Caenorhabditis elegans: one gene and its partner. The protein of the gene in region 1 interacts with the protein of each later gene in a pairwise test. Each region holds a gene or a part of one and is shown in the gene's direction. Other genes may lie near its edges. The genes, in order: sur-6 and sas-6.

Region 1 (11,452 bases):
AAAAAAGAAAAATTCCACAAGTCTTCCAGATTGTTTGGGTACCTCAAGACATTTCAAAAAATTATAAGTCTGCATTGTCGGCATTTGTAGATTTTGCAAAAATCCACCTTCTCGAACAACTTTACTGGCCGCGAAAATAGCAAAAAAGTTGTTTTAAAAAATAAATACAGATCAAGCTGTTTTCTAATTTAAAATGCCCGTCTGTAGTTAATTTTTTTTTGTAAAAACCTATATACGTTATTTTTTTCAAATGGCATAAATGTTATTTGGAAGTACAAAAGTGAGCTTAACACTTTCTTCAAAAAAAGCTGAACAAATTATTTTTTAACTTATCAACTTCCCATATTTCCTTTTAAAAAAACAACCGAGACCGAAATATAAAATTTGCTCACCTCACACATATGACAATTAGGTCCTGACCATACATCAATTCTTGGTTGTGGAATTGTAGGAATACCTCGACTCAAAACAAGAACAAAAAGAGCCGAAACAAGACAAATGTACTGCATGACACTGCCCCAAAAACTGATTCGTTTTCTTCATTTTGTTCCTTCTTCAGTAGCTGCTGCCCCTTGTCAATTTGTTGACGTCATCATTTTATCAGTGGTCGTGAGCTGTAAATTTACTAGACATTTTCGTGCACAGCCACATGCTTTTTCAGGTTTTTCGAGTGGAACGATCTAAATGGTTTTTGATATGTATTTTCATGTACCTGGTTATTGCTCTTTGTTTTCAAAAATAAACTCCTTATTCTAAAATTTTAAATGTTTATCTTGTTTATTCAAAAGAACCCTGATAGAGCCTACAATGCATTGACTGAATATATTTTAATCATTATGGGTAATTGGAGTTTGCAGCCGAATGTTTTGCACAAAAATCAGTTTGTTTCGGCGGAGCCATGTAAGCCCCTCTACTGCTCTTGAACATTTGTAAAATATTCAGAAATTTCAGAAAAGCGATTTAAAACGAGGTGGAGTCATCCATAACATCCTTAGTTCTGAATGTATCAAGGAACGAATCTACAGCGTCAAAGAACCTCGTAGCATTGGTAAAAAACATCGCGGTCAATTTTGGAACCATTTATCGGCTGGAGCTAGATTTGTCTTCTTCAAAACTTTCTGTCCATTGTTCAAAGAGGTTCTGAATTCTTCATTTTCAATTTTGAAATAAAATATAATTTAACGTTACAAATTATATAATGAGAGAGGATTCAGCAACTTGTCAATCAACTTTAGAAACTATTCAGTTTGACGTTCAAGAAGAACTTGTAGTATTATTCCAATACTCCAGTTTCGAATTTTGGACGTTTTCCGATCTCACCTCGAACGAAATGCTGTCAAATCTAAGTGAAGATATGCGCCTTTAAAAAGTACAGTAATCCATTCGCCGTTTTGGAATGGTGTAATGTACTATTTAAAGGGTGTAATCCTCTTTGCGCGACCTTCATTAAAAATATTTCGTTTGTGGCGAGACCTGGAAAATCGAAACTTACAATTGTTGATAATTTCGGGAACTTCAAAATCGCCCATTCTTTTTTCAACTTCGCTCTTAATTTCCTTTTTTCGCAGTTTACGGACAATTTTTTCACAAGTTATTTTAACTTTGTGAATAATAATTTTGCCATTAACCAAAAAAACACTATTTTTTAATAGAATTTCTTTTCTTTACACCCATCTTACACTAGATTTCTAGTTCAGTACAAATTGGCTACGGTCAACAATTCAGCACGGCGCCTAAGACGCAAACACCGTGTACACGATGACGCGCAACTGCACACTCTTCGGTTCAAATTGTGTTTTTTGCGTTTGAGTTCGTTGATTCATTTTTTCATCTATTTCTTCCGATTCATAGGGTTTTCTACTCTTTTTCAGTAATTTTTTTATTATTACGCTTGGCACAATGAGAATTCTCGCGATATTGCGTTAAAAATGGCTGGTAAACAGGCTTCGGTCGAACGAAGGCGGTAATGAGAGTCGAGTACTTGAAGAACATACTCTCAAGTGGCGACTGATCGATTGGGTTAAGGTGTGCTCGAAAAGCTCATTTTTCTTGTCATTCGATCTACTGTGAAAATGAAACTAGTTGGAATTGTCTCGAATATTATTTGTACCCTTGTTGTCCTGTTTTGAGATTTCCATTTCTTTGACTCGGTTTTTTTTGCGGCAAGCTGAGTCGACATATTTTATGTTTTTTGTATCACTTCGCGGCCACATTCTTTTCTGTCTTGATATTTTATTTGTGCTTCCTCTTTTTTTCTGCTTTCTCCTTTTCTGTACGCGTCTCCGATAATTATTCATGTAGAGAGATGGAGAGAGAGGTACTAGTGGTAATTGAGCAGCATGAGCATGAGAGAAGAGCCCTGAACGAGCCGAGTTTTCAGAGGAGCGCAGATATTATATGTATGTTTTGGCAAGCACGAGAGCAACACAACCAGTTAGATGAATACGAGTTTTAGTGTTTTCAATGTTTTTTCCAAGTTTTGAGCCATTTTTAATTTCGAATTTAATTTTAAAGGCACTACTAAATAATTGCAAGTATAGGGAAATTATAATTTTATCAACCTTGAGGATTTATTTTTTATTCAAATTTTTGGTCTATATTAAAAACCACTTGCACATTGTCAGAATTTCTTCCCTAATGAGCAAAAAGCGAAATTTTCAGCAATTCGATCACAAAAATCATGTGTTTCCGGATTTTGTTATGCGAAATTATCTAAATTTTGAAAAATAACTTGTTACCGACTTACATCACATCTCTTTTTCTTCGTTTTCTTCCTGAAAACAAATTTTCGGCAAGTCCCTAAAAAGAAGAGCCCAACTCATTACACTTTTTGCGAACACTAATTGACCCTACTTTCACTGAACTAAGTTTTCTTTTACGAAACGGTCAAAATGTGCTTCCAAATAATGATAGTAACATTTTTCAAATAAAAAAAGAAAGAGTTGACTGTCCATCAATGCTATTAGCTTCGCACACAGTTTCTTTGTGTTCCATCGTCGAGCTGTCTGCGTAACTCGTTTAGGTGCACTGTCTCGTGTTTCATACTCTGCGTCATTCCGTTTTCGCCATTCGGTTCGTCGCCGGCGCCATAGCCAATCGATTATTTGGTTCTTCAAGGCAGTAGTCGCCCATCTCTTCATGTCTCCTCGCGCTCCCTTCGGAAGAACACTGATATCTCTTCTCGCTCCTTCTCGACGTCTTCTTTTCCTCCCCCACCATGTCTTCTGCTTCTCCACCGGCTGATGCTGTCGTCGCCTCATGCTGCACACGTCGTTGACACTCACAGGCCCGCACACACATGGAGGGAGTGCTCCATCTCTCGTTTTTGCCGCTTAGAAAATGGATGTATATTGTTTTTTAATCCATCATGATTCCTTCCGTCTCCGTTTTTCACTTTTTATTACATTTTGCCAATTGGATTTCTGTTGATCACAACAATCTTATTCAGCATTTTCCTTATTATTATTTTGAAATAATCAAGCTTTTAACTTTTGAAATCATATTTGCTTTCTGATCAATAATTTTTTGTTTCTATCGGAGGACAGCTGATAAGTAAGAGGTTCCTTCTCGTGTAGTCATGAGTAGTCATTGATTATTTCCGTCTTGTTGTTGCCCTCTGGCCAGCTGCGTGAAGTTCTTCTCTGCGTGATCGCATACTGTTTCAGTCATTTTCCTATGACTCATCTGATAATTATTGATCGATCGATTGGTTATCTACCATTTTGAAAAAAAAGTTGAAGTTATAATCTGATTTTGCGCCTCACTCTGCTCATTATTATTCGGCACACACGCACACATACACACTCATTTTTGTTTCCTTTTCTGTCTCTTTCTCTCTACGGTCTGTCTATTGCTCCGTTTTTGGTTAACTGGAATTCACACAGGTGAGGGAGCGGATTAGGAAGAAACTTGAATAGAAAAAAGAATTCAGTGAAAATGAGATGATTAGAGAACTACCTCGAGCCATGTATCTCTGCTTTCGTGCTTTATGAGCATTCAGTGTTGATAGTAATAACATAATGAGATGACTGAAGAGACGCAGATGTTGTGAAGAAGCTCGAATTAATCTCGCGCGTTTGCTCTGCGCCGATGGATTAAGAGTCCCTTGGTTGGCAGACGAGATCTCGGTAAGCATCATCTGCTTGTTTTCTCCAACCAAATCTTCGTGCTTTTGACCAACAATTTTTTTTTGACTAAAATGCGGCGATCAGAGAGATATTACTTATAAATTGATCTACGTAAATTAAGCATCCATTATCAACATTTTTGTGTTATTTCATTTTCTAATTTTGTTGCACTGAAATGCACTCAAAACCGGTCCCTTCCGTTTACAAATTGCAAATGCGCCCTTTCGCACCCTAGTTTTTTTGCCCGCGTTTCGTCATGTAAATTGCGATAGCATTGCGGCACCGCTGTGATTCTCGGTCATTTTTGTGATCGAATCAAACATACAAACTTTTAAACAACGTTCTTTGTCTCTAATTCTCTGACCTGAGTGTTCCATTCCTTTTGACTCTTTGAAAAAACTTTGCAGCTATTTCTCTTTCAAACAATTGTCTTAATTTCCTGTTTTACCATGTTGTGCTTTTTCTTCATCACTCGACAGATTTGTTGCCTAGCAACCTGCGGCATGAGGATTTATGCTTCTTTTTTTCCCGATGTCAATCTCTGAATTCCTAATCCAATTTTGTATATAATAATTTCCATTTTTCAGACGCATTAAAAATAGTCGTCATTCCCGTGTCTCAAACACTTTAATCTTCGTCACATCCAGTGATTAGGAAGGGAAGAGAACCAAAGAAACAACGAAAAAGAGGAAAAATTTGAATAATGGTGATGGAAGTGGACGAACCTGCAGTTGCGGCGACTACATCGCAAAATCAACCGCAGGAGCATGCGAATGACTTTGATATGGATACCTCCGAGGGACCAATTGAGAACGATGAAACATTTGAACCGGTAGATCAAATAAATTGGAAATTCAACCAGGTGAAAGGAAATATAGATGCCGATGTGCACACGGAAGGTAAAAAATTGTTACTTGAAATTTCCCTACGTTTTTGATACTATTTCTTAAAGACGCACGATTTATTCAGAAAAAAGTTGGTGGTTTAATTGCCTTGTTTTTTTTTAAAATTAAAATACTACTTAGTTCATTTTTTGCGAAATTTGTCATATTCTTTTCATTTTTCTGTGAAAATTGTTTTAAATCAGTTTTTAAAGTAAAACATTCGAAAAAAATTACCATAAACATTATTGCGCGCCGAGACCCATCTGAATTAATGCGTGCGACTTTAAGATGATATGTCAAAAATTAGTAAAAATTATGATGCCTAGAATACTGAAAAATCGAATAATTTTCAGCCGATGTGATCTCTTGTGTGGAATTTTCACACGATGGTGAATATTTGGCAACGGGAGACAAAGGAGGACGTGTTGTAATTTTCCAACGAGATCAGAGTGTAGGTTTTAGTTTTTAGAAAGACGAGAACTGTTTTAAATATTTAATTTTTCAGGGAAAGTATGTGAAAGGCGTTCGATCGAGGGAATATAATGTTTACTCGACATTTCAATCTCATGAACCTGAATTTGATTATTTGAAATCACTAGAAATTGACGAGAAAATTAATCAAATTCGGTGGCTTAAAAAGAAGAATGCAGCCAATTTCATTCTCTCGACCAACGACAAAACAATCAAGCTGTGGAAAATTAGTGAAAGAGAGCGTAAAATTGGAGACGATGCATGGAATCTGCCTAGAACAAACAGAATCAAGTATAACATTAATGATTAAATATTTTAAATATATAAATATAATTTTCAGCACTTCCTCCTTCCGAGGTCGCTTACAAATACCCTCGATCGTGCCAATGGAGTTGATAGTTGAAGCAAGTCCGAGACGAGTTTACGGAAATGCTCACACTTATCACGTCAACAGTATTTCAGTGAATTCTGATCAGGTATTTTAATAATTTTTTTTTGTGTTCAGCTTTTTTCAATCCAAAGTATACGATGAATCAAAATCTCAACAGTATAACCTTCTTCACATGTTCGGCGTATTTTTTTAACTATTCAATTTATTAGAAAAATAGTACCAGGTTGGCTGAATTCTTTTTTGTGAAAATTTAAAATGTTTGGTACTGCAAGGACCAAAATATCAATTATGTATAAGTGAACCGAAATTAAAAATTATATTCCGATTTTCAGGAAACATTCCTATCTGCCGACGATTTGCGAGTTAACCTTTGGAATCTGGAGATTACCAATGAGTCTTTCAGTGAGTTTTGAATACTTGTTTTCAAAAAATTTTAATATCGATTTCTTCCAGACATTGTCGACATCAAGCCTGCTAATATGGAAGAACTTACGGAAGTTATTACTGCCGCCGAATTCCATCCAACGCAGTGTAATTGGTTTGTATACTCTTCATCAAAAGGATCTATTCGATTGTGTGATATGAGAGATCGTGCTCTATGTGATGCGTATGCTAAAAGTGCGTTTGGTTCTGTGTATTGATTATATAAATAATATTAATTTGCAGTTTTCGAGGAACCAGAAGACCCTCAATCTCGATCTTTCTTCTCGGAGATTATTGCATCTGTTAGTGACGTCAAATTCTCACATAATGGAAGGTACTTGCTTACGAGGGACTATCTTACTGTCAAGGTAATTATTAATAATTAAAAAGAAAATTTGAACAACTTTTATATTTCAGGTGTGGGATTTGAACATGGAATCACAACCGGTAGAGACATATCCAGTGCACAATTATTTACGAACAAAACTCTGTGCACTCTACGAAAATGATTCAATTTTCGATAAATTCGAGTGCGATTGGAGTGGAGATGACAAGTAATTAATTGCAGTACTTTTTCATATTATAATTTTCTTTTTGCAGACATATTCTCACGGGTTCGTATCATAATCTGTTCCGTTCATATGCTCGTGGCAATAACCAAGATGCGAAAACTTGGGAAGCTCGGCCTCAAGAACCACATTCACAGCTCCGATCTCGATTTGTTGTACCATCAGCGAAACGGAAGAGAAACAATCTGTCATCAAGCGGTGAAACGGTAAGATTTCAATTAAATTTAAAAAAACGTCTTCATGTTTAAATGGGTCTCTGCGCGCAAAAAAAGTTTATGGTAGTTTTTATTTTTATTTTATGCGACTGCTTCTCGTTTATTTTTTATTTTTCAATATAATTACTTCGTATTTAGCGACATTTTTTCGCTAAAAATACACTTTAAACGACGTAATTTTATTGAAAATGTAAAATAAACGAGGAATCAGCCGCATAAAATAAAAGCACAACCGTAAATTTTCTTGATCGCCAAGACTCATCTGAATACATCCGTGCACCTTTAAGAATGCATGTTAAACTCTCGTGAAAATATGATAAACATATCTTACTTCAAAATCAACAAAAACCCAATTTACAGACCGAAGAGGATCTTTCATCTGATCAACTTCAATTTGATCGTAAAATATTGCACACAGCATGGCATCCAAAGGATAACATCATTGCTCTTGCTGCCACTAACAATCTCTACATCTTCTCAGATGTTTAAATTATTGTTTTCGTAAACTTGTTGGATTTCGTCCTCCCCCAATCATCATTTTCCCTTTTTCTCAATTTATCCTCAAATATCACATTCATATAACTCTAAATTTTTTTTTCATATTTTCCCCATATTTTTGTGAGTCAATTCTTTCTCAAATCCCGTCCCTTCTTTCCCGTTTTCGTAGTCCTCATGTCGACTTATAGACATTTAATCGCGTATTCAATGTTACTCGCTTTCTTTCTTTCAAATCCTTCGTCATCGTAAATTTTTGAAGTAAAACAGGAATAAGCTCTTAGTTGGTTTCTATTTTTCAACTGTTAAAGTTGTCTTTTGCTTCCAATTTGAGATAGAGTTGTACTTTATTATTCTTATAGCTTCTTTTTCTTTACTCTCTCCCTCTCTCTATCCTCTCATATCATTCTTGAATTACGTGGCCCGTTTTCTATACTTTTCCCTCACTCTTCAACTCCAGTGTTCTCTTTCTTGTCTCTTCCACCACCACTTTTAAAAAGATAACTGTAGATCCTTAACCCCGAATCATTCGGGTCGTGTCTCTCCCACTTTTAGGATGATTTCTCCTGTTAGATTCACAATGTGTTTCACGACTTAATCCTCTTGTTTGAAAGCGTGTGAAGGTATTATTCTCACCTTGTTAGCTCCATTCTGTAATTTTGAAAACTATAAAAATCGCCCAAAAAATTTTTGAAATTTTTCCGACTTTAGTTATTTTCTCTCCACTTTCTCTGTTCGTTTGTCTGTCACAAAATTACAAACTTTCAAATCAAGAATCTTGACATAAATTTTTGTATTACTTCCCTCATATTTCTTCATCATTAAATCCCCGTGGGTGTGTCTCATCATTAAGTCTTCCTTTTCCCATAAAATTGTAAGCAATATTTATTTTCCAATCATAAAAACTCATTTATTGAATGGAAATAGTCGACAAATGTACAAAAACAATAATAATAGTATCACATTTGTGGCGATGAGGATTTCAGTTCCATGGCGACGATATGTTTGACGTACTAGTACTTGTGCATCATATGTGACTTTGGAGACTGAAATAAATTAGAAAAATATATTATTGGTGTCTCGACACGACAAATTTATAAATGCGAAAATGTGCGCGCCTTTAAAGATTACTGTAATTTCAAACTATTGCTGCTGCTGAATTTTCACCGAATTGCATAGTTAGAAAAATGGAATATAACAATAAAAGCATAATTTTGAACAAATAATTAGAAAAAATTTAAAAAAAAACTCGATGAAAATTCCGAAGCAATCATAGTTTGAAATTACAGTACTCTTTAAAGGCGCACAACATTTCGCATTTAACTAAAATTTGTCGTGTCGAGGCCGCGTACCGTATTTTTGACGCGGATGTATAAGAGAATAATTAATTGAAAAAAATCGATTATATTACGTTGGATTTTGTTTTGAAAAAAGTACAAAAGTTATAACTTTAAAAAATAGATAAATCGAATCGATGAATTATTTATACTTTGATTCCTTTTGACTTGATAAATATCATTTCCATAGACAAAAAAAGGAGAAAACTATATTTAATCCTTAATCCAAATTCTGACATTTTTATTTTTAAATCGAAACTCTCTTTCGGACAATTGATATTATTAGTTAACATTTACATCTACAAAAACAAGATAATCCTCTAAGGTGTTGTCAAGACAGAAAACATACGGCTGATTTGTTTAGTACACATGGCGAATTTTCTTGAGGGTAAGGGAAAATACACAAAAAATAATATGTGCATTTCCTGTGCAGTTTCAATTTTTTAAAGTTTTTTATATTTCAATTGTTCGAAAATATTTTTAAGGGTGGAGTTCGGAAATTGGGTAGTTTTAATGTACTCGGAATCGATATGCTAAAATATCGCAAAAGAAAACTGATAAAAACAGTGAAAGATGTACATTGCCAACTTCAAAAAATTCGCTAATTCCCTGTTTGAATTTCTTCCAAAATATGAATTCATGTACACTTTTGGATCAATCAACGACTTCTGACTCCACAAACTCTACCTGACATATTGGAATATTCCGAGAATTTTAAGACTAAATCCCTATTTTCCAAACTCCATCTTGAAACAAAAATAAATAGATTCTCGACAATTTACTAAAGAATATTGCAAAAAAAAATTCAGATAATTTTCAGAAACCCCATTGGTATAATAGTATGATAACTAAAAATCCTTCTAGAGCAGTTGTCGTCTACTGAATATTAATTAATCGATTGAAATTATTCAAAAACTTGAATTGAACTCACGATATCTCTTTGTCTTCTGAAGACGTGTACCAGTTGCTTCTTCACGCCATTCATTTGCAACTCCTCTTGTAATTGCAGTTGTCCAAAGAGCATTTGATTCATGTTGTTTTTCGACAACACCATCCAACATCTGATAAATTATATTTCAGACTAATAGCAAAAATATCAAAAACTCACTCGCCGCCCATCACCACTGTATGTCACTTGTGGTTTGCGCTTCTTCTGGAAATGATTTTGCATATACTTTTGTTTTTTTTTCTAGTTTTCATTCAACAAATTTTCCACTTTTTTGAGCAAGAGTAGGCGGACTGAGCCTCGGTGGGTTTGAATTTTCTCCTTGCTAAAATTCAAATTCCCAGAATGGAAGTAGTCGCTAAATTGTACAGTAAATTTCCAAAAGCATAGGATTAAACACAAACAACAAAAACGATAATTTCGAATGATTGTTTGATACAAATTTGTAAGATTAATGACGCCAGAAGAGGAACACAAAATACTAATTTGAACACTAATTTGATACCAGAAACTACAAAAATCGGCGACGTAAACTCATTGTCTAAATTATTTCAGATTTGCAAGCTTATCATTGAATTTAAAAAAGAATTGCCACAGTTCTTGGAATCTTGTAATATCTTACAATTTGCAAATATCAGAGCACAAGACAGACTCTTGAAAAAGACTTTTTTGGAAGAACGTTTGAAAACATGAATTAGGGTATTAAAATAGACGTAAAATGAGTTGATCTTTGAGATGTGAGACGTAACTTTAGAAGATTAATGCCTGATAAACAAAGCGATCGATTTATTAAAGAGGAAGTATGCGATTCCATTTCTTTCATATCAAAAAATATTATTTGAAAACTTCCAAATAAAAAAGTGAAAATGCAATGATTTTTTATAGACTGGATATATCGGATATATCGGATATATTGGAAATGAATACAATTATGATTTACCATATTATAGCCTTGCAAGAAATTTTTGAACTTTGACAGCTCAGATGTCGGTTGTCTTTTTTTAAATGTCAACTGACAAAATGTTTTTCATCACTTCTTCTATAGTTTTGTAATTAATAATATTTTAATATCTAAAAATGAAACGAGATATAATTTGTCTTGTAAGTTAAGTCGATAGTTGTATGTAAATGGAAGAATAATTAGTAATTCTCAAGAAGTTTTTGGCAAAATATTTGAAAATATAAAAACATTCGCATTTAAGTAAATAGTGGAACTTAAAATTTATTTTGATGAATTTCCTTTTTTGAACTACATAATTTTTTTGGTCTATGTACATGAGACACATGTTCAGAAATTTACAGACAAAACAGGAACAAGTGGTTAAATCTAATGAAATTGACCAAAGCAAAGGATGTTCAGCGTACTTATTTTATTCTCAACGAATTCTATAACTTGACAAAATTATTTCAGAATATCTTACCACATCGAAAATTTGTTCATCACCATCTTCCTGTTGTTTTCCTTGTGCAAATTCATCAAGTTGTGATGGATCAATTGGAGAATTGAAGATATTGATCATCTGTATTAAAACATAAATTAACAATTAGATTCTCGAAAATTTTAGAAAATAATAACAATAAAGCAGGAATTGAA
Region 2 (11,452 bases), on another chromosome or scaffold:
ATTTCGCTCTTTAATAAGTGCCAAATCTGGAAGATTAGCCCAACGAGATGATGGAAGTCCTGAGAATGTAACAAGATTCTCATCAATTTGCAATTCTTTCATCGCTTTAATATCTTGATCCATAAGCGTCGTCAAATCATCCTCATCATCGTCAATATCACAAGTCCCGCCCTCTTCCGTAGAAATCATGCTCCAAGATGGTAAGTAGTCAGCTGGATGTGCTCGAATATTGATGTGAGCTACGAATAGAACCTTGTTGGCCCATGTATAGACGGCCCGTTCTCCTTCATGAACTGTAGCCAAGTATTGGCCTGTTTCATTGTAGGACATTGAAATGCATGGTTTTGAGAAGAGAAGTACATCGATTAGTTGAGAAGTGGCAACATCAAAGACACGGATATAAGAATCATTGTCAGCGACTAGAAGCCATTTTCCGTCTGATGAGAATGTCATCGCGTTGACCTGAAAAATTTTAATTGTTGAAAAAGTGTGGGTTTTTGGTTTTTTTTCAAAAATAGATGTTTTGGTTTGTATTGAAAAATTGGATTTTTTTTTGAAAAAAAAAGGATTTTTGAAGTTATTTTTGGCTCAAAAAATGGATTTTTTTGGAAAAATATATTTGTTTTGTTGGTTCTTTATGTTAAAAAAGGATTATTTGGGAAAAATGAAGGGTTTTTTTGGTTTCTTTTTTTTGTGAAAAATGGATTTTTGAAACATTTTTTGCGAAAAACTATTTTTTTTTTGGTTTTTTATGTCAAAAATGGATTATTCGGGAAAAAATGGGGTTTTTTTTGGTTTTTTTTTCCAAAAATGGATTTTTTTTTAAACATTATTTAGCGAAATATGGGTTTTCGGATTTTTTTTTTGCAAAAAATAGATTTTTGGACAAAAATTAATTTTTTTGGGTCTTTATGGCAAAATTGGATTTTTTAAAAGGGAAAATGGGGCTTTTTGTGTTATTTTTTCTATATTTTTTCTGGTTTTTAAATCTTTTCGGGTTTTTTTTTAAAATAAAAACAGATTTTCTTTGGGTTTTTGGACATTTATTTTGGCAAAAATGTTTTTTTGGTTTTTACGATTTTTACGGTTAAAAAAAAATTTGTTTAGGTTGCTTAAAAGCAAAAATAGAACCATTTTATGGTTTTTTGTTGGGGAAAACTGATTTTTTTTGTAAAAAATTTTTTTTTTTGGGGTTTTTTAAATAATTTTTTTGGGAAAAATATATTTTCTGGTTCATTATGGCAAAGAATTAATTTTTTTGGTTTATTTTCCAAAAATGGATTTTATTAAACATTTTTTGGCGAAATATGGTTTTTTTTGCTGGAAAAATCTTTTTTTTTTGTTGGAAAAGCGGGCTTTTCTAGCAAAGATTAGTTATTTTTTTGAGTTTTTTTTTTGCCAAAACTAGTTTTAAAACTGTTTATTTTCTTTTTTTGGTTTTTTAATCAAAATAAAAATTTTTTTTTCCCGGTTAAAATGGGAAAAAAGGAATATATAGCGTTTTTAAATGTTTTTTAAACAACTTTTAAAAAAAATTGATTAAAAAATGCAATATCATCGTGCTTTTCTGATTTTTTTTTCGATTTTCCGGAAAACCTGAATTTTTTGTTTTTTTCCTGAAAAAATCGAACTTTTTTTCACGGCAACCTACCTTATTGCCAACAGTCTCAAATGCTCTAGCAACTCGATGACACACTGTATCCACTAGAATCACACTTTCTTTCCCATTCTCAGCAATCGCCACCAACGCCACTAAACTATTCGACGGGCACGGTGCACAAATTCCCAATCTAACATCTTTTTTGAACATTTTCGCATTGATAGCCTTCGTTGAAAGAGACCAGAACAGAATATGACCTTGAGCATCAGTGCTCATTAGCTCTTTTCCACGTTGATCTACGGAAAGCGATGTAATCGGAGAATCGGCAGCCGGAGTGTCGTTGTGAATATCGCCGTTGGTTTTAGTGGGACCTTTTCGTGGATTCTTAGACTTCTTGCTCTTTTTCACAGTGGTGGAAGCAGTAAATGAATGAACGTGGCGGCCACTTTGAGCATTAAATTGATCGATATGACCTGTAGAATATCCAATAAATACGAAATTTCCACAAGGTGATACGCAGAGAGCAGTCGCATTTGCATCAATAAAATCCACTTTTTTCTTGAAACGATCATGCTCCAGTGTAAATGCTCCAGAGGTGTTGTTTCTCGTTTGCCATGTGGTGATTTTTGTGTCATTTCTGGAATAGGAAGGAAACATTAGAAGCTGGAAATATATAGGAGGTTTTTGCTTGTGGAGACTAAAAGTGTGCTCAAAAATTGCTCAAATAAATAATTTTTTAAAATGAAACTTTTGAAAAATTCCTTTAAAGTTGAGTATCGAAATCATAAAAGAGAAATATTTTTAAATTACTCCAAATTTTCCCCTGATTCCGAATATCTAAATTCAAAAAATTCAAAAAATTGCGCTGATTTTATATTTCAGCTTGAAATCGCTTCTACACCCATGGGATTTTTCAAACTCCGAATTTTCACGCCAGAGACGTCATGTGTCGTTTTACGGGATTTGTGTATATTTACGAGATTTTCAATTTTTATCAGATGCTGATTTCTGTTTTTCAACGAGTTTCCTTAATTTTCGTCGGTTTTTGTTAAGTTTTTTTTTTGAAAATGTGTTTTTTAAGTCAATTAACCATTATATTATCAAAAAACTAACAAAATTTCCAATTTTTAGGTCACAACTCGACGGAAATCGAAAATTTTATTAGTTTTTTGATAATACAATGTTTAATTGACTTAAAAAAAAACACACATTTTCAAAAAAACTTTGGCAAAAACCGACGAAAATGAAGGAAACTCGTTGAAAAACGGAAATCAGCATCTGATAAATATTAAAAAATTTCGAAAATCTACACAAATCTCGTAAATCGACACATGGCGTCTCTGGCGCGAAAATTCGGCGTTTGAAAAATTTCATGGGGACGCAATGCGATTTCAAGTTGAAATATAAAATCAGGAAAATTTTTTTGAATTTTTTCATTTAGATATTCCGAAGCCGGGGAAAATTTGAAGTCATTTAAAAAATATTTCTCAGATTTCGGTACTCAACCTTTAAAAATGGCTTAAGTTCACCTAAAATCTCAGATTTTGCCTACTTTTCCGTGTCACAACAGCCGGAAATTAAATTTTTATTGAATTTTATTTTCCTTTATTGCTATTGTTTGATAGTTTTTATCACGTTATTTCGCTATTTAAGATGCATTTAAATGGAGTACAATCAAAAATCAAACATAATGACAATTATAACTGTAAAAAACTTTTAAAAAATAAATATATTTACAGTTACTTTCGGTCAATTTTCGTTATTTAAAGGAAATTAGCCGAAAGATACTGTGACTATATATATATTTTTTTTTAACTTTTTAACAGTTATAATTGTCATTACGGTTGATTTTTGACTCTACTCCACCTTTGAGTGTACCCTAATAAACCAAAAATGTGAGATAAACGATAAAAAAATGCAATAAAGGTGTAAATCGAAAAAAAAGGTAATTTCCAACCGGAAAAGTTGACAAAATTGGAGATTTTAGCCAAAATTGAGTCAATTTTCCGGGAATTTCGTTCTTTTTGGCACATATTAAGTAAGCGTTTCCCGTACACTTGTCTGCAAAACACATTATTCCATGCAGCTTCTCGTTGCCATCCAAACGCCATTTCAGCTACATTTTGAACTTCTTTATTCAATTTAACACCCTGTCCAACTGTGCCAAGCTTCTGTCTCATTGTCAACGAAGAAACATCGTATTTTCGAATGGATCCATCTTTTCCGGCCGACAAAACGTGATCTTTTCCAACAAATTTGATACTGGCACATGGTTTCGAGTGTCCTTCCAGGCGGACAAGTTCACGTGGCATTCCATCTGCACTGTCGAAAATCCAGAGACGCAGAGAGTTATCCAGTGAAGCGGAGAGCTGGAAAAAATTGAATTTTAACCTTTTCTTCGGAATTTAAAGGTGGAGTGCGCCCAGTGGGGAAATTTCTTCAAAACATGCCTATGGGGTCACAATGACCGAATATCATGATAAAAAAATTCAAAAAATTTTTCCTGATTTTACATGATTTTTTGAAAATTGAAAAAATCTCAGTTTTCCCCCTATTTCCTATTTGAATTTCCGCCAATTGTAATGGTTCGATGGAGCACACTTGCATTATTTTTATTAATTTATTTTATTTTTTTCTCATTTTTCGGCTGATTTTCTTTATTATTTGTGTATTTTTTTCGGAAAAAGAGAGAAAAATTCACGATAAATGCAAAGTGTTTTTTAAAAAATCTTGTTGTTGTCGTCGGAAATCATAATTTTACAGTTTTACGCATTTTTAATCACTTTTAAACAAACATTTTGCATTAATCTTGCTTTTTTACTTCTCTTTCCGATAAATATATACACAAATAATGGAGAAAATCAGTGAAATAATGAGAAAAAATAAAATAAATTGATAAAAATAAGGCAAGTGCGCTCCATCGAACGATTCCAATTGGCGGAAATTCAAATAGGAATTAGGAGAAAACTGAGATTTTTTCAAATTTCAAAAAATCATATAAAATCAGGAAAAATTTTTTGAATTTTTTATCATGATATTCGGTCATTGTGACCCCATAGGCGTGTTTTGAAGCAATTTTCCCACTGGGCGCACTCCACCTTTAACAGGAAATTACCATGATAGGCTCCCCTGGAACAAAATAGAGACAATTAATCTCGTCAGAGTGAATTCCCGTGATTTTTCCGATTAATTCCTGCTTCTCGAGATCCCACACAGCCATTGTTCCGTTCTTATCGGCAGTTACCATTGTTGATTCGCCGTCGTCACTGAAAATATTGGAAATAATTTTTTTAAATAATATTTTTCAATTTAAAACACAACCCACCGAAAAGCGACATTAGTGATCTTTGCGTCATGTCGGAACGATGTGATGATCTTATCCATTTTCACATTGAAAAGCATCACTTCACCATTTTCCAGCCCTACAACTACCACATCTAAGGCAGTAGTTTGCTCGATAATTGTGATTCTCGAGTCGAAACTTCGCTGGAACTCATGAATCACTTTTCCAGTTCGGAAATTGATAATTTTCATTCGACCAGTGCTACTGCCGACCACGATTTTATTCAAATACGTGGATGGGTGACAGATTGCCGTTATTTCAAAATCGTCGGATCCTTCCATCAATAGGCTCATTTGAAGGCCTCCTTCTGATGTATCAATGACGTGGATTCCAGAAGAAATATCAACTGCGATCAGCTGAGTTCCGATTAATGTCATGATTTTGATCTTGGCGCCCAAGTCGATGGAATCTTTGATATCTCTGCAGAATGCTAGAGAAGTAATGTTGGTTCCGTGAGCAGCGAACACGCTCCTGAAATGATATATAATTATTTTTGCATTTTTCTAAACCGCTTACGTGCTAGAAGACGCGACTGCTGACACTTTATCGCTTAAAGGTTCCGACATTCCAATCGCACGAAGCTTTTTTCCATTGTATTGCATGATTACATTATCAATTGGGCACAAAACTGACAATGCCGACTTTTTTGCGACAAATGTTGAACGAATTGACGGGGCGACCTGGAAAAAATAAGTAATTTCACTTCAGATTCGGAAAAAAAGCTTACATCACCGGTTACCACACCCAAGAATCGATAAGGAGCAAAGAGCTCCGACTGGATGCGCTTCATTTGCTGGAAAAGCTGAAAAAGCTGAAAAATGAGATAAATTGTTAAAAAACGGGATAAGTGGCTCACACAAGAAAAAAACGACGTAGGATTGTAGAAATGATTGAAAATGCGGGAAACTCTCTATTTTCCCTTATTAAATCTTCAAAAATGTGAAAATTTGACGGAAAATGGGCTGAAATGGGGAATTTTAGTTTGTGAAAAAAAAAAGAAAATGCGATTTTTTGTTAGGCGTAGTTTACAATGTTTTGTCCGCAATTGCCAAGTCCGCAATCGCACACCGTAGTCCCATAGAGCGCGCCATCTCAAATTTATTGTTTTTGCGCAAATTTTTTATTCTTCATTTTCTGCTGTTTTTTCCTATTTTTAACATAATTTTTTTCAGATTTTCTCCCACAAAAATGACTAGCAAAATTGCATTATTCGATCAAACACTCATCGCCTCACTTCTACAGCCGTTGAGCCTAAATCAACCGGATTTTAAGTAAGAAAAGGGAGCAAACGATTTTCAAAAGTAACAGAATTTCAGGGCATACAAAACAAAAGTTAAGCTGAAAATATCAGAGCAAAGGAACGAAACCAGTGGAGAAAAGGAGCTAAAATTCGAAATCAGCCGCTCCGATGATTTTGAATTTCTATTCTCGGAAACGTTGAACAACGAGAAATATCAGATTTTGGCTCGAGATCACGATTTAACAGTGGATTTCGATGCTTTTCCGAAAGTTATCATTCAACACTTGTTATGTAAAAATATTGTGAAAAATTTGGAAGAAGATGGGGAGGTTGATGCACGGAAAAAAGCAGGTTATCATAGTATTGCTGATCCAGGAAAGCCGACGGAAATCAATATTATTTTGGATGCCGAGAAGAATTTTTGCTCGTAAGGGAAATAGATTACCTAATATTGAAATTTAATTTTTTATTTTCTTCCAGATTTGAGCTATTCTCGAAGACTCCTATTTCGAAAGGAAAAATCTTTTCCATCAAGCTTCACGCAGTCCGCGGAGATCATTTAATTTCACATCTTCTGAAAATTTGTTCCAGTCAAGCAGTGAAACTCTCCACTTTTTATAAATCTGCAGATGAGCTAGCAAGCCTACGGCAGAAATGTGGAGATTTGGAAAAACAAGTTGAAAAACTGTCTGGTGTGAAGGAGGAATTCGAAGAAATGTCAGAAAAGTTTAAAGAGCTGGAAGATGAGGTGGAGCTGGTGAAAGAGGAAAGAGAGAATATTCGATTATTAGTTGAGGATAAAGAAGATGAAGTGGCTGATTTGAAACAAGACACGGAGTCGCTGCAAAAGCAATTGGAAGAAAATCAGGAGGAGCTGGAGATTGTTGGAAATATGTTGAGAGAAGAACAAGGAAAAGTGGATCAGCTTCAGAAACGAAATGTGGCTCATCAGAAAGAAATTGGGAAGCTTCGAGCAGAACTTGGCACGGCTCAACGGAACCTGGAGAAGGCCGATCAGCTGTTGAAGCGAAACTCCCAACAACAGAATCAACAAAGTCTGGATATGAGAAAACTAGGAGAGCTGGAAGCTGATTTGAAGGAAAAAGATTCGATGGTTGAGAGTCTCACTGAAACTATTGGAATCTTGAGGAAGGAGCTGGAGAACGAGAAATTAAAGGCCGCCGAGAATATGGATAGTTTTGAGAAGCTGAGCATGGAGAATGAGAATCTTAAAGAAAAAATTGCCCATTACCGAGCCCAACGGTTTAGTCCAGCTCCTTCTGGGCTTCCCGGGCTTCAGACCGGACTAACAAATAGGCTTACACCATCATTCAAGCCTGTTCTTGGACCCCACACTCCATATGGAGCTAATTTGAACTCGGTTAGTAGAAGTTCTACGAAATGAGCTACATTATCGATTTTTCCGGCAATTTCCAATTTTCACACAATTTTTGAGCATTTTTCCGAACTGTTTCAACTCAAAAAAATATTTTAATTTGTTCAAATTTCAGCGCACCCCATTCCGTGACAATACAACTCTTAATTTCCAAAATTCGACAATTGCAACTCCTCATGCTTTTCGTTTCAACAGTCAACTAATCGCCGACGAGACTACTGGTTCAAGTGTGACGAACACCCCACCCGCTCAACGATAAAATCTTTTTTATTGATTTTTTCTTGTCCTTTACTTGAAAATAAAACTCTGCTTATTTCATTGAGATTTCTAGGCCACCGCCAGCACTTCAAATGGGGAAGGTTTTTATCAGTTGGGAGTCCTCCGCAAACATTATGACGCCAGAAACTCGCTTGAACATTTTTCAAAAAAAAAAATGACAGACCCGAAAATTTCAGCATTATACGTGGCAGTTCAAGAGGTAAGGAATTTTTTAAAGTTTACTAGGTTTTCTTCAGAAAAAAAACATTTAATTTTCCAGATAAATTCTCTAATTCAAAATGGAACGTCTTGCAGTCGATCTCTCGAGGAAAAAATTGTTGAGCACTTGGAAAATAGCCAACTTTTAGGGAAATTACCGAAAAACAACGGGGATTCTCATGAGGAGGTTGGGAATATTACACAAACGCAGAATTTTTGTCGGTCTCGACACGACACAGTTATTTGCAAAGGGTTGTGTGCCTTTAAAGAGTAAATACTGTAACGTGTAATTCTTGTTGTTGTATCGATTTTCTTTTTGTTTTGTTTTTCGATAAAAAAATATATTTTACAAGAAAACAGTTATTAATCGTTGGAAAATCAGTGAAAACTCACAAAGTTTCAAATTACAGTAGTCTTTAAAGGCGCACACCATTTTTTTTATAGTTAACAAAAATTTGTCGCGATGAGACCCAAAACCGTAATTTTGGTGTAAAATCGCAGAAGATCCCGTTTTTTGTTGAAATATAATTAAAACTTTGAATTTTAAGGTTTACATGGAGGTCACCAAGCACGGACTTCGGATTTCTTCGAGAAGAACACGATTAGTGAAACTGAGGATTCCACTGATCGAGCTGATACTTTTGACGACGTATGCCGATGGATTTGGAAGGTGCGATTGGTTAATTATGAATTAGATGAAAATCACCAAGAAAAAATTCCGTTCGCTTCGAGACCTGAGACCGTAATTTTAATAACAATTTCAGAACCAACATAGTCTTCGTCGAAAAAAGCACAACTACACGATACCAACTCCATCTTCTTCAGGCCACTGACGACGCTTCTTCTAATATTTTGTGTAATTTAGTGAAGGTTTTGGGATGTTTCATAGTTTTCGTAATAGTCATTTATTTTATTTCAGAACGCTTTCATCGAAGCCGAGGAAGCCAGTGCTCTCATCGAAGTAATTGAGCCGCCATCTCCGTCGATTGCTTAATTTTTTCTTTTTTTTTGCTTGTTACATAAAATAAAAATTTAATTTTTCAAGTTATTTTTTGCCACCTAGAACCATTTGTTGCTTCATCTTTGGAATATTTGTCACTAGCTCGCAGAGCTTGGAAAAATTAAAAAAAATTTCCAGCATGTCATGGTACACTTCCTGTCCAAAGATGCTTCTTGGTGCCACCGCTGTTGCTGTTCCATTGGGAGCCACAGTTTTCCGGAGGGAAAGCGAAAAATCTGAAAATTTGCTGAAAATCAAAAAAGCCAAGGAGCTAGTGGAGACGACGATGGTTGGTTGGGAACTCGAAATTTTGCGATTTTTGTACCAAAAATACGGTGCCGGGTCTCGACGCGACACTTTGTTTAATGCGAAAGGGTGTGCGCCTTTAAAAGAGTACTGTCACTTTTGAAATTCTCGTTTCCGTGGAATTTTTCTCACGATTTTTTAAAATATAGGTGTTTTTCCTGTTTTTTACTAAATAATTATATTTTTATCGGAAAAACCCCGATTTTTTCTGTAAAAAACAGTAAGAACACTCATATTTTGACAAATCGTGAAAAATCCATTGAAATTCCACAGAAATGAGAATTTGAAATTACAGTATTCTTTAAAGGCGCACACCTTCTCATATTTAACAAAAATTTGTCGTGTCGAGACCAGGTAATTGCGGAAAAATCTCTAAATTCCAAGTCTGTGTAATAACTTTCTCCAATTCGACATTATTTTCAGGCTATTCAAGGTATTCCAGGCCTTTCGATTGCAGTTTCGCTGGATGGAAAAATGGTTTGGAAAAGTGGATTTGGGTATGCAAATCTCGAAAGTTTTGCAAAATGTACAGGAGATTCTGTGATGCGAATTGCGAGCATCAGTAAGCCGATAACTGCCACGTTGGCAGCACAGTGCGTTGAAAATGGAACATTAGATCTTGATGAGGATATTCGGGTTTGCAACTTAAAACGGAAGGGAAAATCTGAAATTAATTTTTTCAGAAATATCTTCCTGAATTCCCGGCGAAAAAGTTCAAAAACGAAGACGTCAAAATCACAATGAGACAGCTTCTGTCGCATTCCGCTGGAATTCGTCATTATGCAACTGAAAAGGTGACAAAAAAGCTCTTTTATATATAGCGATTTCTATAACGAAAACAAATTGTCTATTACACATTCTTCAGGCTTAGGCCTTCTTAGTCTGCTTCTTCTGATAATCCTTCAAAGCGGCTTGAATGGCGTCTTGGGCGAGCACTGAAACATTTTTAGTTGCGAAAAAAATCGAGAAAAATAGGGAAAAAAGCTCACTTGAACAGTGAAGTTTGACTGGTGGAAGACACAATTCTTTGGCAATTTCGTCATTTTTAATTTTCGACGCGTAATCGATAGTTTTTCCGTTAATCCATTCGGTTGCCAGGGAAGATGAGGCAATTGCACTTCCACATCCGAATGTTTTGAATTTGGCTTCGATGATTTTTCCGTTATCGTCGACCTGGAAATGTTTTTAGCTTTAAAATATAATAATTTTTTCCCCGGAAAATGTGAAAAAACTCACTCGAATCTGCAATTTCATGACATCTCCACAAGCTGGAGCGCCGACGATTCCTGTTCCGACGCTTGGATCGTTCTTGTCAAGTGATCCGACATTTCGCGGGTTCTCGTAGTGATCGATAACCTGAAAATAATGTGTAATTTATTGATTTTTTAACGCCTGAAAATGATTTAAAACCTACCTTCTCGTGATACTGAGCAACTGAAGTTGCCGCTGGCAACGCAAACTTGTGCAGGAGTGTTTTCGCGGCTGAACTGATTTGAAGCGACATTTCTGTGATTTGTCTGGAATTAATTTATTATATTTAAAAAATAAAATTAATATAAAAGTAGAAATACGTTAAATCATGGATTTTTAGCAACGAAAGGCAATATTTTTGTGCATAAAAATAGGGAATTCCAGAAAAAAACATTTAGAATTAAAGCAGAGATCACTTTTCTCGGCGATAACAAAAAGAAGAATGGAGAAGTAGTGGGCGCACACAAGACACCATCACATGTTCATGGCCGAGAAGTTTTTCGGCCAAGGCCAAGGTTTTTGATGCTTTAGCTGGCGAGTTTAGCAGAGAACACTGATAAATAAATAAAAATCGATGGAAAACTTAGAAAAAATCAATAGAAACAGTTGTTTGATGAGAAAATTATATTAATTACTAGTTTTTAGATTATTTTCTATACAAAACCCAATAAAAAAATCCTTGAATTCGCGCAAAACATTAAAAATTCATAAAAATAATAATAAAAATTAGAAAAAAAAAACAAAAAACATACTGTAGTAAAGGCGCACAGTATTTTGAACCCTAGCGGGTCTCGAAGCGAATTTGAGCATTTGTGCTTTTTCACCAATGTGCCTTTAGA

The links.
Region 2: the proteins of sur-6 (region 1) and sas-6 interact in a two-hybrid assay, tested with the Caenorhabditis elegans proteins (one study listed by BioGRID).

What each region holds. Positions count from the first base shown.
Region 1 is NC_003279.8:9,749,408-9,760,859, forward strand, and holds sur-6 (Serine/threonine-protein phosphatase 2A regulatory subunit sur-6), read left to right. Parts: upstream 1-4,714; 5' UTR 4,715-4,830; coding exon 4,831-5,026; intron 5,027-5,364; coding exon 5,365-5,462; intron 5,463-5,516; coding exon 5,517-5,773; intron 5,774-5,822; coding exon 5,823-5,958; intron 5,959-6,205; coding exon 6,206-6,275; intron 6,276-6,326; coding exon 6,327-6,491; intron 6,492-6,539; coding exon 6,540-6,664; intron 6,665-6,713; coding exon 6,714-6,850; intron 6,851-6,896; coding exon 6,897-7,071; intron 7,072-7,440; coding exon 7,441-7,569; 3' UTR 7,570-8,481; downstream 8,482-11,452. Other genes in the region: spp-25 (Saposin B-type domain-containing protein), read right to left, coding at 393-509; F26E4.2 (Tnp_DDE_dom domain-containing protein), read right to left, coding at 8,482-8,621, 9,844-9,973, 10,021-10,065, 11,280-11,378. UniProt on the Caenorhabditis elegans protein: Probable regulatory subunit of serine/threonine phosphatase let-92.
Region 2 is NC_003282.8:13,783,389-13,794,840, reverse strand, and holds sas-6 (Spindle assembly abnormal protein 6), read left to right. Parts: upstream 1-6,109; 5' UTR 6,110-6,131; coding exon 6,132-6,214; intron 6,215-6,259; coding exon 6,260-6,610; intron 6,611-6,663; coding exon 6,664-7,564; intron 7,565-7,694; coding exon 7,695-7,838; 3' UTR 7,839-7,896; downstream 7,897-11,452. Other genes in the region: Y45F10D.7 (Small-subunit processome Utp21 domain-containing protein), read right to left, coding at 1-462, 1,652-2,237, 3,656-3,969, 4,716-4,866, 4,926-5,414, 5,460-5,623, 5,671-5,733; icap-1 (Integrin Cytoplasmic domain-Associated Protein homolog), read left to right, coding at 8,013-8,057, 8,118-8,243, 8,605-8,726, 8,821-8,926, 8,976-9,050; iscu-1 (NIF system FeS cluster assembly NifU N-terminal domain-containing protein), read right to left, coding at 10,230-10,297, 10,352-10,535, 10,599-10,718, 10,777-10,866; lact-9 (Beta-lactamase-related domain-containing protein), read left to right, coding at 9,196-9,345, 9,786-9,998, 10,046-10,156. UniProt on the Caenorhabditis elegans protein: Central scaffolding component of the centrioles ensuring their 9-fold symmetry. Required for centrosome biogenesis and duplication.